Linked DNA regions of Lepisosteus oculatus. The protein of the gene in region 2 interacts with the protein of the main gene of each other region in a pairwise test. Links are inferred from orthologs where the notes say so. Each region holds a gene or a part of one and is shown on either strand. Other genes may lie near its edges.

Region 1 (8,084 bases), about 44 Mb from region 2:
TTGTAGATTTAGCACAGAGCCTTTGGGTATTAAATATTAGATCAATTACTTTTTATCAGGTAAGTACATAGTATTGATTTACCAGTTAAATATACACATTGAATGTAAAAGTTCAACTGTCCATTTAGTATGAAAACTGGAGACTTACCACAAAAGTCACAACCTCTCAACAGTGCCAGTAGTCAACTTAGATAGGTCACGAAGAATTAGCCTTTATAAAGTTTTGAGATATGAATCAAATATGTAAATGTGAAATTTAAATCCCACGTTTTCAACATGTATTTTAACGGTTACTCTGTATATTAAACATTAAAGGGCACTTTTTTTTCCCTTCCCAATTTTTTAATTAAAAAAATATAACCTTACAAAAATGGTTCATTACCACTTCAAACCTAATAATAATCCTAAACCGGTGTAATGTACCCGCCTGAGGTAACACTTCAAAGCCCTTCATGTATGAAAGATGTACACACCCTGATATTTAAGGTATGATCCACTTTTTTCCTATCCCACTTTAAAATCTATATTACCACTGAAAACATTGAGCTATAATTTTAGTGTAGCTTACCAAACACCATTTAATTGCATTAAAAGTGCATTTTAATACCACACGTAGAACCCAGGGCCTGGTACAGCTCAAGAAAAGGGAGTGAATTACACTTCAGACGATATAATGAGGATTCAGATGAGTACAATACTTACAATTATCTAACAAAAAATCTTAAAGCACAATTAATACGTCAACAGTAAAACTCAAAGGATACAAATTAAAATACCAACAACCCCAATACACCCACTTCACAATACAAGCACAGTCCTATCACATGTAATTTCTATTGAAGATGTGAATCTCTGCTGAAGGGACTAGGGTAGAAAAATATGAAAAATTAACCTATGAAAACGTCCTTTAAACTAAACCACCACAGCAAGTCATAAAACAATTCAAATTAAAATAAAATCTGACCCGTTTTAAAGTTCCTCAGACCCATCAATAGAATTTCTTGGCCAGAAGACTTGCTGTGCTAATAGCGGGATGCAGAGCTCGGACACCTGCCATCAGGCCCCTGTGTAGCCCACCCAGTGGTGCCCTCGCTCACTGCTGCCCCGTTCCAGTCCTGCTCCTCTATCAACGTGCTGCTCAATCCCCACAGCGTCGGTCAGCCAAACGAAACTGCTGCATCACGTATTGATCTGTGGGAGGCCTGGGTAGGCGATCTGCTGCAACGGGCCGACGACGCCCTCAACAGCCCAGCCTCCCAGCTGCAGATCAGCACGGCCCTGGGACCAGAACTCGGGACTGGCAGCTTCTCTGCTGGACTGGGACTAAGGGCAGCATCGCTCTACTCAAAACACACGACCTCACCAAACACCTCGGTCCCCTGCCAGCCACTGCATGTCTTCCCCAGCCTCTCTCCACATCCCACGCCGAAGGATCAGGGGGAACTCCCACCTTGTGGGGGCGTTCTCCCCCTGCCCTTCTCCAGCAGGGCCACGGATGAGAAATGAAATGAAACCAGGACGGGACTGCATGCTCACCCCACCCCTCTTGCTGCACTACACATTCCTATTAATAATCACCTGACCTCACCCCACCGCGGCGCGCCTGCGAGCGGGCCCCCGGGGTCCGGGGACCCGGCTGGGAGCTGGGAAGGTGATCTGAAGGTAAAGCGGGCAGCGGCGGCGGGTCTCACCAGAACATCGTTGCAGATCTCCCGCAGCTCGGACTCCACCTTCTCCCGGTACTCCTTGACCATCTGCAGCTTCTTGTCGCTGCCCTCGGTCTTCTGCTCGATGCTGGAGATGACCCTCCAGGCGGACCTGCGGGCACCCACCACGTTCTTGTAGGCCACGGACAGCAGGTTCCTCTCCTCGTTGGACAGCTCGGCCCCCTGCTCGGTCACCTCCTTCATGGACGCGGCCATGTCGTCGTAGCGCTCGGCCTGCTCCGCCAGCTTGGCCTTCTGGATCAGCTCCGTTTTATCCATCGCGTCCGCTTCCGATCGTGCGTGTGTGGGAGGGGGAGTGGGGCTGAGGGCAGGATATTCTCTTCGAGGCGCAGTGTTTCAGGACGGGCCGGGTGACCAGCTGCGGGCTGGGGGGGGGGAACCGGGATCGCCGGAGAGCCTGAGCGCTGTCGGTGGTGTCGATGGCCGGGGACGGGGGGACGCGGGGCAAGCAGGTGAGCAGACAGCAGTCGTGCAGGCGACGTCCTGTGGGAAGCCTGCGAGCCGAACGGGAAAGAGGTGGGCAACTGAGGCTGAGCTGCACGCAAGCTACACGCACACACGTCGCGCAAGCATCGAGCCCAAATCCGTGCGCGTCGATCGTACGGTTGTCAAGAAACCCGTCGGGCTGAATCGAGACTGCACGTCTCCAGGCTGACGAGAGACCACCAAAGGACCTGCCATCTTTTTTTTCTCTCTCTCTCTCTCCAGTACTTCTAACGTGACCCAGGGGCGGGGAGGCTGTATCCAACGCGCACACACGCAGGTCCCGTCTCCCTTGAAGAGCAGGGAAACGGGCGGCGGTCAGTCTCCCCCTCCCGGGGCTCGGCAAAGGTTTGCTTTCGGAACAAGCAGCAGCAGCGAGCACCACCCGGAGAGACACGACATCGTACTCCGCTACCCACCCCGGCAATTTGGCAATAATGGCCAGGAAATTCCCCCCGTGTCTTAAGAGGCGATTTCGCCATTGTGTCAGCGCCCAGCTCAAAAAGCGAGACGACACTCGGGTCTCCCCGCCACCGCTGCTCCTTAGCGTTTCGACCCCATTCACGAACCACGCAGGCAGTTATCCGAATAACTCCGCGTTTAAACACAGATTTAGATAAAATGGCGGCTCCTATGAGCCGAAAACCAATTCCCGAGACAGTCTTTTTTTTCTCCCCTTGTGTGACAAAATGGATGCGGCAAACCCGAACCGCCATACACGCCAGGTCCGATATACCACACGGTTATCGGGTTCAATAAACGCAAGCCCTTCAACAAACGGCACATTCACGTCGCTTCCCCCAGCACAACCCTCCTTACTGCGCCCCTAAAATACGAGGGAAGCAGCGCCAAACCTCCGCTTACCTCCGTACCGCTCCTCCGAGCTGATCCGCTTTAGGGCTGAAGAGAGGAAAGGAGCCCAGCCGCCAGTCTCAACCGAGCACGAGAGCCGAGGCGGGGCCAGGCGAGCGCGAGCCCCAATGAGAGAGTGAGTCCCGCACCGCTCGACCGTTACAGTTCAAAAATGCTCGCCAGTAGCACCGCAGCGCGCGGAAGAAGGCGGGCTTTAAATGGGCAAGTTCGACTGGCCTGTAGGCTGCGGCTGGGGCCACGGGGTTTCCTCCAATTAGAGCAAGGGAGAAGACGTCACCATTGCCATGGTTATCCAGCACCCCCCCTCCTCCTCCTCCTCCTCCTACTCCACCACCGCTGAATGTAGCACTACTGTAGTGACAGTCGGCATCAGTGAGGCCCGGGAGCGGGCGTGGTGGATGAGTGTGTCTCACTCAGAGGCTGGCGGCACTCATCTCTTGCAAGCGGGGAGCCAGCCAAAAGCCCCCCTGTGGACCCTCTGACCATGCCCACCCCTATGATTGTAGCTTCGCGTATTTCATTCCCCCGGCTTTGAATGAATAGATGAGCGGTACCATATTTATTCAAAATAAGAGGGCGCTCAGTCGAGCGAGGGGAGACGTGAGAGGGGTGGACCGCCGGTGGTATTTATACTATAATCATTTATATCGCATACCTGTTCAGAACGAAAACGGGGGGGGATGCGTTTCAAGATATTTGAACATTTCCTCCGGACGGATATTTAAGGAGGACGTGTCCGGTGACATTCGAATACAAAATTTGGGATTACAATTCTTAAACCCTAAATTATCGGAAAGTAGGTTTCAAATGACGTTTAAGCAAGGAGCTGTCATATTCTCACGATTCCATGAAATACAAGGATGGTAGCAGGTAAAATCCCAAATCTGGCCTCAAGACCAGGGTGCAGTAAGTTTGGTGGGACTCCAATGTCCTGTGACAAACAATACAGTACTTCCTAATCATAAACACTGTGGTTTGAGGGAGTTTCGCTCAAGGAGGTAACTTTCAAAAATATATTTACATTTTCTTTGCCGCGTTGTAGCTGTTTGGTGAGAAATGATCATGCTAAATAACAGATAATAGGAACAATACATTTGTATTATAGTTGTAATAAAGTTGGTCTCACAGAAACTCTACGCCAGTCCGAGGGAGTCATTTCCGGTGCTAATCCTACAGGGACATCCCCACCAGTTTATACAGAATAATAGTCAAGGATCCAGAATCTTCCCCAGTTTGAAAACTCATGGCTTAAAGCATTTCTGCTATGGTCTGAAGGTCTGCCTACGAGGATTTCCAGTAGTGTGATTAATAGCTTGTTCCAGGATCTGTGGAGTTATTGTGTGACACAGCCGAACTGAGAATATCGTCAGCACTTTTTTTCCTGCGGAGAAGGTGGCACCTGCAGCAGCACAATGGCAGTTGAGCACAACTGACTTTTATTCAGCGCTTCACCCTCTCTGGATTAGACGCTGTTAGACGCCCACCCTCCCCCTCGTGAGCCCTCCCATGCCATAAAGGAAAACTGTCATCTGATATTTCCTCACCTGTGCTCAGCTCCGAGTCGGACGTTAATCATTAGCCCTGCTCGAGATCTAAATTACACTCCTAGCTGTTGGCCGAGCAGGAATCTTGACCAATCCCAAAACACCAGTGTGGGGACAGGATAAAGCTTGTTTTCACGTGCGCCAGACCTGCCCTTCGACTCCTCGTCGACAAAGGAGCACCTGGGGTGTAAGAAGAAGTGGACCGATGAGGCATGTTTTAAATATCCTGTTTCTTACAGTGCTGGATTCAGATCAGGTTGCTGCCATTACAGATCCAATTGTCCTCCAAACATTTTGTAGTCTAAACAAAAAGCTACAATTTAAAAGCTGCCTTTAGCTTTAGCTGAGGAAGGGTGAGATGCGTGTTGGAGGTATGATAACTAATACTTTTGCAAACAAGTTGAACTGAACTGTTTGAAAAGCCTGTGACGCACAGCCTCAGAATGAGACCCAGGAGGTCCCGTTGGTTTTGATAATCACATTGCAGAACAGTTTGATTAAACGCTCTCCCCTTGACCCACGCGTCACGATAGCTCAGTCTGTAGGCACAGAGCTCCAGAATAATCACTGCACTTGTTGCTTAAAACAAAATGGTGATTGCCTTCCTTATAGGAACATCTGAAGAAACCAAGCTGCAGATTTCAGATTTGCTGCCATTTCCTCTGCAGGAACAGTACACAGATGAATAACACTATGAAATTAATCTTAATAACTCATGTTTTATTGGTATATGAGAATGGTGTTTAATTGGGCTTTATGATTTCATTTATTGTGAGCCATTCAGCAAGACATCCTGTGTTCCCCAGTGTCCCTGTCAAACAGTATGCACAGGTGGTAGAGAAAACTGTGATTTTCTGTTTAATAAGACTAACATAATTTTTTTAACAGAACATCCATTTTGTAGTGATTTATGGGAATAAAAGTCTCTTGGCAACCGTAAAAAGGGATGATTAAAGGTTTGCCAACCCCTTTCTAATATGCAGGTATTGCTTGTATAAACCTCCATTTCTGTTAGTTTTATTCCTGACTTCAGAGGAGATAGAAAGAAAGAGAACTTCCTAAGAATCACAACTCTGGTTCCTTGGTAGTAAGCACTGCTTGATGTGTAAAATGTTCATTTTAGGGGCTTCATGATTCTGAGCAAGGCTCAGTCAGCCCTATGTACCTCAGTGAGATGTGCTGCTGTTCTCTTGACATCAGTCCAAGCATTCCCTTTCCAAACTACATTCATAATATTGCTGGCAGAGGCCCTTTTGATTACAGATAAGCATATTTAGAAATGCTTTGCCTGACAGAGAACTTTGACTCCTATTCAGTGAACTCTGTATGCAAAACTCTGTATCTTGGAAGATTCAAATGGTGCTTTATAAAATGCTAGATTTTGACAAAAGGATTTAGATGGCAGGCACACTTTCCCAACCTTCCACACTCATTATGATTTAGCCCACGTGGATTAACTGGTAAGACTCTTCATCTTTGGAGGAAGAAAAACGTCAGAACTGTCTTATAGGCAGCCATGGTGAGGGTTATGAAGACTGAAACTCCTTTGATCTCCCTATTGTTAGATGAGGCAGGAGGTTCTCCTCTTGACAGTGGCAAAATGAAATGGTAAAATTCAAAATCACAAACTGACTGTCATTGGTAAAGGCCAATGGCGAATTTGGCCAGGACACTGGGGTAATACCCCTACTGTTTTCAAGAAACCCTGAGATTTTTAATGACCACAGAGGGTCAGGACCTCAGTTTTATGTCTCATCCAAAGGAAGGTGCTTTTTTACAGTATAGTGCCCATCACTATACTGGGGCATTAGGACCCACATGGACCACAGGGTGAGCACCCCCTACTGGCCCCACTAACACCTCTTCCAGCAGCAACTTTAGTTTTTCCCAGGAGGTCTCCCATCCAGGGACTGACCAGGCTCACACTTGCTGAGCTTCAGTGGGCTGCCAGTTGTGAGTTGCAGGGTGATGTGGCTGCTGGTAGGCAGCTAGGGCTGTTGGAGGTGCAAAAACTCTAGATGGGGCAATCGTGTGGTAACCTCAAGCCAGGTACAGTATGTCACAAGGTAAGCAAGGTAAAATTCCAGGCTGTATAAACTTTGTTCGTGTGGGCTACAGGTGTCAGTCAAATAATAAAAATAAGTTGTGGGGTGCGTATTTCGTGAGTCTTCAAGTTCGGATTCGCCAGCTGCCAGGAGGTGGCGATTTGTGCTGCCACGATCCAACATGAACTCCTGCCACCCTCTGGTGAGAGGCCTTTTTTCCATTTTGCTCTCAGAGAGGTCGCCCCTTTTAGAGAGCCATTATATTTTTACCGTCAAACCGAAGCAAAGGGGCATTCATCCACTCAGACGACCGTCTTTAAAAAAATCTGAAAAGGAGCAGCGCTGATACCAACAAAGACCTCTTCCTCTTAAGTTATTACCATAGCAGTGCGCAGCCATGGCAACCTCAAGTGAGTGGAGCACTGCAATGCTTTGTACGTACTTTCCACAGCGCAGTGATATGAGTGTCACAGACACAGCAGTACCAAAGGCAGAGACATAAGAATCAATGCGTCCACGTTTAGTTTCAGATTCGTTTGTAAAGGATCAGGGTTTGGTTTGCAGAACACATAGCGAGGAAAAAAAAAAAGCTATCTCGGCGATTTTCTGATCCTGGCAGCCGGTTAGTAGGCAGAGGAACAAATGGCATTCCCGTAGGATGGGTGAAAAACACACCGTTCCCACTCTCCTGCAACATGTGCTTGGCCGGTCTTTTTGCAACTGTAGTGCTTCGCTCTGAAACATGAACATGGCCAAGGCACCCTTCAGGTGAGAGGCGCAGAAAAGGAATGTCTATTTACCCAACATCATGGTGGCCCTAAAGGCTTGTGTAGCGGACCTAGTTCGGATACGGTGACGTCATCGTCCCTCACTGCGCGTAGCGGGGACCTCAGCCGTCTGGGCTGGGGGAGGTCTCCTTTAGCTCATGCGGCTGGTTCCCTGTTGTGTTATGCTGGAGCCCTGGGTTCGCTCCCCAGGCGTTGCAGGACGGAATGGGGTGGCAGAGGGCATGAGGCCGTGCGGAACCACAACAGTCACACTTGCACACATAAAGACAGCAGACCTTGTGACCTAAACCAAAGATTAATCCATCCGTCCATCTATTTTCTGACCGCTTTGTTTCCTATCTGGGGTTGCGGGGGAGCCTATCCCAGCGAGCAACAGGCAGAAGGCAGGACACACCCGGAATGGGCCAGCAATCCACACATTGACGCAACAAACACAGACGCGCACCCACTCACACCAGGGCCGATTTTCCCAGAAGCCCACTAACCCGCCAGTATGCCTTTGGACTGTGGGAGGAAATCAGAGCACCGGGAAGAAACCCACACGAATCTGGGGAGAACGTGCAAACTCCACACAGATAGCTCCTCAGGAACTGAATCCAGGGCCCCAGCACTGCGAGGCACAGA
Region 2 (7,896 bases):
TTGATTACACACAGGTGGATTCTATTTATCACCATCAGTCATTTAGGACAACATTGGATCATTCAGAGATCCTCGCTGAACTTCTGGAGTGAGTTTGCTGCACTGAAAGTAAAGGGGCCGAATAATTTTGCACGCCCCACTTTTCATTTTTTTATTAGTTAAAAAAGTTTCAAAAATCCAATAGATTTCGTTCCACTTCACAATTGTGTCCCACTTGTTGGTGATTCTTCACATAAAATAAAAAAATTATATCTTTATGTTTGAAGCCTGAAATGTGGCAAAAGGTTGAAAAGTTCAAGGGGGCCGAATACTTTCGCAAGGCACTGTAAGTTTCATGTGATCAAGCACTGCCCACTGCTCAATAAAAGGTCTTTACTTCTACAGACTTACCAGTGAAGAGCTGGACATTGCCTTTCTGTTCACTGTCCATCTTCACTCCAAACTTTCATGAAATGTATATCTGGAATGGCATTCATACTTATCCAGCCACTGTCTTACATTCCTAAAAAAAGACAAAACACTCCCATCAGGTGTATTGTTTAAACTTAAAACTTAGCTGTAAACATACTAAACAGCTACGCACAACTAAAAATTAATATTCTTGTAAATGTATCTAATGCAAATTAGTAGTTAAATGGTAAAATAGCTGTCTGACAATGTTTTAATGTGGTTGTATAATTTATTCACGAAACACTGGTGCTGTGAACTTGCATTGTTTAGATTGTGAATTGTACCTGTATGCTTTCTTTTGCAGTTTGTAGGCACTTAAAAGTGAATGAGTAGCTGAGGCTTTGGCAATATTTTTCAAACCATACATACTCTGTATAAACACGTTTCCTGCAGTAACACAACTGATACCAATAAATGTTGAGCTTTTATTTTTTATTTTTTTTATTTTGAGCTCTACCCTAAATTAACTGTATAAATTGATTATCAATGAAACTACACAATCTATAATTATGATTTCTTCCGTAGTCCCTCGCTTACTCTACATACAGTATCAAGTTCACGTTTATTTGTCATACCAGCCATATACAAGTATACAGTGGAACGAAATATCGAGTATACGATGTAGATTAAATAACAGCAGCAACAAAGCATGGTAAGACACATACCACTGAGATGCTTTTGTGCATAAAAACGGTGCATGACATCACCCTGCGCAAACAAATACAATATATAGCATGCTTCACAGTTGTGCTATTCCATCTTACTTTTGTTTCTTTTAGATACGAAGGAAATCCAGAGGAACAACAAATCTCTGTTCACCGGGGTAACGCATAACTCTCCACTCCTGCACCAGAAAAGACGGGTTCATTTCGCTTTCACTGCAGAGTAGTCTACAAAATCATATACATACTGTAGCGATAAGATAAAAACAAACTAACGTATTTAATATTTCAACGCCTTTAACTGGATCTACTCATTTGAATACAACTATGGAGTAAACATTAAATCACAAAATGAACAAGAGAAACTTATTTTTTCTTCAAAACCTTTTTTAACACGATTCGTTGCACAGAAAAAAAATACATTTGAGTCAGAAACACCGACTTAACTACCTACCTTTTAAATTCAGGCTACTAAGTCTTACAACCCTACAGTACTTCACGTGGGCATGCTAAATTATAAAACGAATGCTGCATATTTATTAAATTATTTTTTTTACCACAAGCCTTAACTGCTCAGAATTCTTCCAAGTTGTTGCGAGGGGAAGATATCAAATATGAATCGATACAACTGTGAGTAAATTGAAGTAAAGCTAACTACACTCACACTTCCTCACATCCCTCAGAGTTCACGTCTGCGCAGAATCGGCGCGATACCTGTCGCGGCTGCTAACAGAGCGGAAGAGCTGCTTAGCCAACCATGGTTGGCGTTTCACTCCCCGTGCTACTGCCACCTAGTCTGGGAATGTAAATGTCCTTCGATTCATTTTTCCAGTGGGTTACATACTAGATAGGCAAAGTCATTCTAAAGTTAAGCAAATATTAATGTGTGGAAAAAAGGTGGAACACTAAAATACTATGTTACGGATACGGATATACGGATGTTTCAGTAATGTACTCATGCAAAGTATTGCCACTATAATTCACCTGAACCTTATCCATACTACATTGAGATAGTCACAGTACTAGAAGTTATTGAGAAAAAAAGCTCTTTCTCATAGAAATGGTCTGCAGGCCACAGAGGGTGGAAACAAGGGACCCAAGAACAGGTTGAGAACATGCAAACTCCACACAGAACACACCCTAGCCTAGAATTAAAGACAGGATACCTAGAGCAGTGAAGCACCAGCAGTAACCATCACACTGCCATTATAAGGACAATTACCTCACTATATATACTTCATATAGGTCTTTCCCTTTCCCACTGTCTATACAGTGTCTTGTAAAAGAATTAACCCTCAGTAAAATTCCCACTTTTTCTGAGCTTGCAATCATGACACTTTCAAATTGGAGTTTATATTTATAATCTGCTCCAAACTGAGAGATCTAAAAAAATGCTGATGATATGTAGATTCTGAAGACAGTCAGTAGATTCTCAATTGCTTAAGTATTCATCCTCTTTTCAACTGCAACTCTAAAGTTGCTGAAGCTTTTTCATGTGAAGATTTTTCAGGTGAAAATAAATATATTTGATAGGTCTCAAAAATGGTGTAATATTCTCTGTCTATGCATAATCAAAGAGGTTTAACATGACTTTGGAGTAAATATCTTTGTTTCTGCAAGTCCCCTTAGGTGGATATTGAATTTAATGTCATGTGTCTCGTAGTGATATAAGCAATTGAGAAAAAAGACCAAAGAGATAAAATGATGGAGAGTCACAGACTAGAAGAAGGTTACTTATCGCTTTTAGTTCAGTGAATTCCAACATTAAGAAGTATAGTGTGCATCATACCACCCAGATACTACTTAGATCATACTGCAAATTACTGTAAGTTCATTTATAAAAAGTCACATACCTATACTTTTTTAATTAATCAAAATTTCATGTTAGAAGGTTTTGATCAATATTTCTGCAAGACACGATAATCTTGCACATAATAGTTAAAACATGTACTGTAACTATTTTATATGTTTTATATGACAGGAATTCTACTGTAAGTTCATTTATAAAAAGTCACATACCTATACTTTTTTAATTAATCAAATTTCATATTAGAAGGTTTTGATCAATATTTCTGCAAGACACGATAATCTTGCAACATAATAGTTAAAACATGTACTGTAACTATTTTATATGTTTTATACTCCACGGCCGAAACGTTGTGTTCTCTTTCTTCTTTTTTTCAGCATGGAATAAACCTATTACTTGTTCCTTTGCAGCCTACGCATGCTGACGCAGCTACCCACCGGAATTATTTTATGTGTATTTTATATTATAGCACTTATTATATGTCTTATATCTGATTATCAGATGCCCTGGATCTGACTGCCTGTTTGTGATGGATGAACCATTGAACTTTGTGTTGTAATTAGATTTGTTAAAAACATGCACATGGTCTCACAGATAATTGTAAATAACATTCCAAAGCCCAAACTGAATGGAAATTGGGCAGACATACCATAATGGAATATGTTATTTTATAATAAAACTTGATTTCTTACTGTTAGGTGACAACAGCAGTTAGCTTTATTTCAGATATCACCTTGCACTTGCTGGGGCATTGATCTGGCACTGAGGTATGGCAGAAAATATTTCATCCTTAAGGCTTTGAGAAAGCATTGTATCTCCAAGGGGCATTCATTATACTGTACTCTAGTACTGTATATAGTTTTTCCCTTTCTGTTTCTCTTTTTCATTTAGATAAATCTTGTAGAAGGATTATTTGACATTTTATTCTAAACAGTAACCTCATCTGGAAGAGGACTTGTTTCCTTTTTCTCCAGCTTTTTATTCTCTCCGGTATTTTGGAAAACTCTGTTACTTGTGGTAAAGGATTCAAGTGCACATGAAATATGTCAGTTTATAAAATCAATCCACTGAATTTCTAATCACTTTGTCTAATTCAGGGGGCGGTGGAGACAGAGACAATGCCGGTATGCAATGGGCGCAAGGTGGGAGTACACCCTGGATGTGATGCATCCCAGAAGTTTTCCCAGAAGTCAATTAACCTACCACTGTGTCTTTAGACTGTGAGAGGAAACTGGAGCACCCAGCAGAAACTTGCACAAACACTGGAATCACATATAAACGTCACGCAGATGGCACCCCATGTCTGGAACTGGACCCACGCTCCCCTCTTATAAAAAGGTAAAAATATTAATTTATACACGGGAAATAATTTTCTCACATATTCTAATATATTATAATATGCGTCTTGTACCACATATCTCCAAAAATAACGTTAAGGTATACATTTTTATATTTCTCCTCTACATGAGATGTCAGCAAAATTATATCATTTCGAATCATCTGAATTAATTTCAGCACTTTTATGAGATGTGTATGCTAGCAGTTACGCTAAGAGGTTACGTTCTTGGGATACTTTTTCATCTCCCAAATTATCATAACTGAAGCTACATTAAAACAGAATTAAAAGAGAATGCATACTACTTAGCGCATTTACTGTTAATTTTACCGGGTGCTCTACACTGCAACTTTAGAAGGCTGTTTTAATACATCCAGTCCAGAAGGGGAGCTGTAGCTATTGTCTTTTCTTGAGATTACCATGGTGAGGCGCATTATCTTGAGGAGCCATATTGAAACTGTGCAGCACGATCGTTCTGTGGATAGTATATCTTTGAATCTTTTATTTTTGTTTTATTTTATTTTTCTTTCCAGGAGCTTGAAATATTAACATTTAACTTTAAACATGCCGCGTATTATGATCAAAGGTGGTGTGTGGCGAAATACCGAGGTAATGTAACGGCCTTATTTTATAGCTTGGCATGGCAAATGAAAACATTGAAGTACAGATTGTAGTTATGTGTAATTTTTATTCTTCTATCGGGATAACATAAATTAGAATGATTTTCCTGTTTGCCTGTGATTTGATCATGTTTCATGAGTTGCATCTAGCTACTGCCAATACTTACCTTTTGCTCGCAAAATTCATGGCCTAAGTTCAGTGATGTGCAACTATGTCAGCTTTACCTATTTTGTGCTTTTCGTTGAATTGTGGCATGTTATGTAATTCCAAAACGTTTGATTTATTTCTTTATATCTTAAATTAAGTGTGTTGTAAGGGTATCCAATAAACTGCAATTGTGTTGAGAAAACATAGTAAAAATACTATGATGATGTTGGTTCTAGCGGAGACCTAGCCACGTTATAGTACTGTACGATAACAGCAACGTAAGTTAACTAAAACATGCTGATGAAATGTTGTTTGATCTACTGCTGACCACGAGTTTTCTGTTAGCTACTTTAATCATTTCCGATTTGTTAAAACATTTAATTTGTTTAACCATTTGGAGAAAAAAAACAGCTAATATTAACAGTTCTTTTTTGTTTTTGTACATCAGGTATAACATTTGCCAGTAGTGTCAAGCTTAAATTTGTCTTACGTATATTATCTCGTAAAGAAATGAGCCTAAAAATGCATCCTGTTCCTTTAATTTTAGGATGAAATCCTTAAAGCAGCGGTTATGAAATATGGCAAAAACCAATGGTCTCGGATTGCCTCACTGTTGCACAGAAAGTCTGCAAAACAATGCAAAGCCCGATGGTGAGTACAGGCTTTCATGAGCTGGAGTAGCACTGTAGGGTTAAATCTTTGATTCTAACACCAACGTATTCTTGTTTGATTCACTCAGGGTTTTTTAATATCGAATGCTTTGCTGTAAGAGTACAGTAGGTTGTAATAGCTTTTTCCCACTTGCGATGGTAGGTGTCGTCTGTAAGAATTCCAAAAAAACACTTCTAAAAGGTCTTAAAGGAACAAGTTAAAGGTTTATTCCATGCTGAAAAGAAAGAAAGGAAACACAATGTTTTTGGCTTCTGTAGCCTTCTGCGGGTGTGAGGTCTTATAGGCACATTATTTTAAAAAAAGCTATTTTTATGTAATTTCAGCTAAATGCTTGTTCTACTTGTGCACCCTTTAGTGTTGTGAAGGTCAGTTTCGGTGGCCTGCAGACATCTGCATCTGTGGAGGAGCACTGCCAAATTGGAGGCAGGGTGGTGTAGCAGTTAGCATTTAGCTTAGCTAACCTAGCACTGCAGTTAGCACTTAACACAGCTGAGGCTTAGCCTTAAGGTTCTGGGTTGGATTTTGTATTAGGGCACATTATGTGAGCATGTTTTGAATGCTACCTGTGTTCACATGGTTTTACTCTAGGAACTCTGGCTTCCATGCCCATTGCAGTGAAAAACTAATGATTGGCAATGCTGAGCTAATCATACCAGTTAGTAGCACGATGACCAGGAACTTGGAGTACCTCTAGTGCTTTTCCTTCTCTAGTATAGCAATACTAACGTTCTGATTAAAAAACGAACAGCAGCAAGCCATTTGACAACGCCCTTTAGCATGTCATAGAATGTGTCACTAGCCCTGACACCACTTCGCTGACACCAGGTGTCCTGATCATCTTCTCATCTGCTGGAATTGGAACAGTCTTGAGACCACTCTGCCTCACATTTTAATCAATTTGGTTGTCCTCCTGCGGAAACTTTTAAATATGTTTTCAAACGTTCGCATGTAATCATTTAAATGTTTTTAGAAAATATGTTATCTAAAATAGAACAGTATAGTGGCCCAGAGGTTAGCATTGCTGCCTTGCAGTTCTGGGGGCCCTGGGGTCTATTCCAGACCTGGAGTGATATCTACATGGGCTTTTTATGTTAACTCCCTGTTCTTGTGGGTTGCCTCCGGTTGCTCCAGTTTGCTCCCACAATCTAAAAACATACTAGTAGGTGAACTTAGGAATATTAGTCCTGGTGTACGTGCATGGGTACATGTCTATTTTTTTGTCTGTCCGGCCTGTGTTGGACTGGCGTGCCATCCAAAATTTACCCTACCTTTTCACCCGTTCCTTGTTGGGATAGGCTCTGGCTCCCCTGTAACCCTGAATTGGAAGCAACACTTAGAAAATGGCTGTTATTTAAGATAAAGCTTCATAAATGTGTAAGCATGCAAAACTATAATACGTAAAAGAGCATCCCTCATGCTTCTGTTAACATCTGTCATCAGTTATCACATCCAGTAGTTTGTGTAACAACACTCATGCATTCTCTGTGCTGCACTAATGTTATATTTGGCAGTTTTCGTTACCAGATTGGCTTTAATGGTCAAAAGCACAGTGTTAAGGGTGCTCAACCAGTAAAGGGGTTTGCATAGGTGCAGATTGAGTTCTAAAACCTAGGTATCTTTGGATCGAGATGTCATTAACCATCTGAGACCAGGATTTCCCAAGTGATGGAGCACAGTTGACTCACAGCTGGTAAGCGTAAGGTTGGGATTAGCTGCCCAGAGCTCTTGGAAGTTCTTTGGTAGCCCCTGTGGTGTTCCAGGGACATGCAGACTTGTGTGGCTGTCTCTAACAGATCATGCAGTCAGCTCTGATCCTAAGGTAGGGAAGAAACTGCCTGCTACTCCTTATTCTCCCTTGTGTGCAGTTGCTATGCCAAGACCTGAGAAATGCACAATTGGCATTTCCATGTTGGGTGGGTATACAGCAAAATTAATTGAAAGAGAGCAAAACGCCCTTATAACTTAATTTTCATGCACTGTTTTTCTTTTATTGAATGCTGGAGTCTTTAGCCCTTGTTTTGGAGTGTCCCAGTCCACTTAGTGTTATAGATTTCACTAAATCCCTAGCTCTTTTAAACACTTGGATGTTGTTTATTAATTAAGCAATTGATTTGTTCATTTAAGGGCACTCTGGTCCTTTAGGCCTGAAGGGTTTGATCACTTTTTTTCAGAGGACCTCCTAATGGCTTAATTTATACGCT

Evidence for each region.
Region 1: the proteins of cdc5l (region 2) and 14-3-3 protein theta interact in a two-hybrid assay, tested with the Homo sapiens proteins (2 studies listed by BioGRID and IntAct). The link is inferred for Lepisosteus oculatus from reciprocal best matches to the Homo sapiens genes CDC5L and YWHAQ.

Annotation. Positions count from the first base shown.
Region 1 is NC_090697.1:11,938,520-11,946,603, reverse strand, and holds the start of 14-3-3 protein theta, read right to left. Parts: upstream 3,183-8,084; 5' UTR 3,075-3,182; intron 2,222-3,074; 5' UTR 1,986-2,221; coding exon 1,692-1,985; intron 1-1,691. UniProt on the Homo sapiens protein: Adapter protein implicated in the regulation of a large spectrum of both general and specialized signaling pathways. Binds to a large number of partners, usually by recognition of a phosphoserine or phosphothreonine motif.
Region 2 is NC_090697.1:56,000,818-56,008,713, forward strand, and holds the start of cdc5l (cell division cycle 5-like protein), read left to right. Parts: upstream 1-4,684; 5' UTR 4,685-4,819; coding exon 4,820-4,864; intron 4,865-5,570; coding exon 5,571-5,674; intron 5,675-7,896. Other genes in the region: zinc finger protein 260-like, read right to left, coding at 391-430.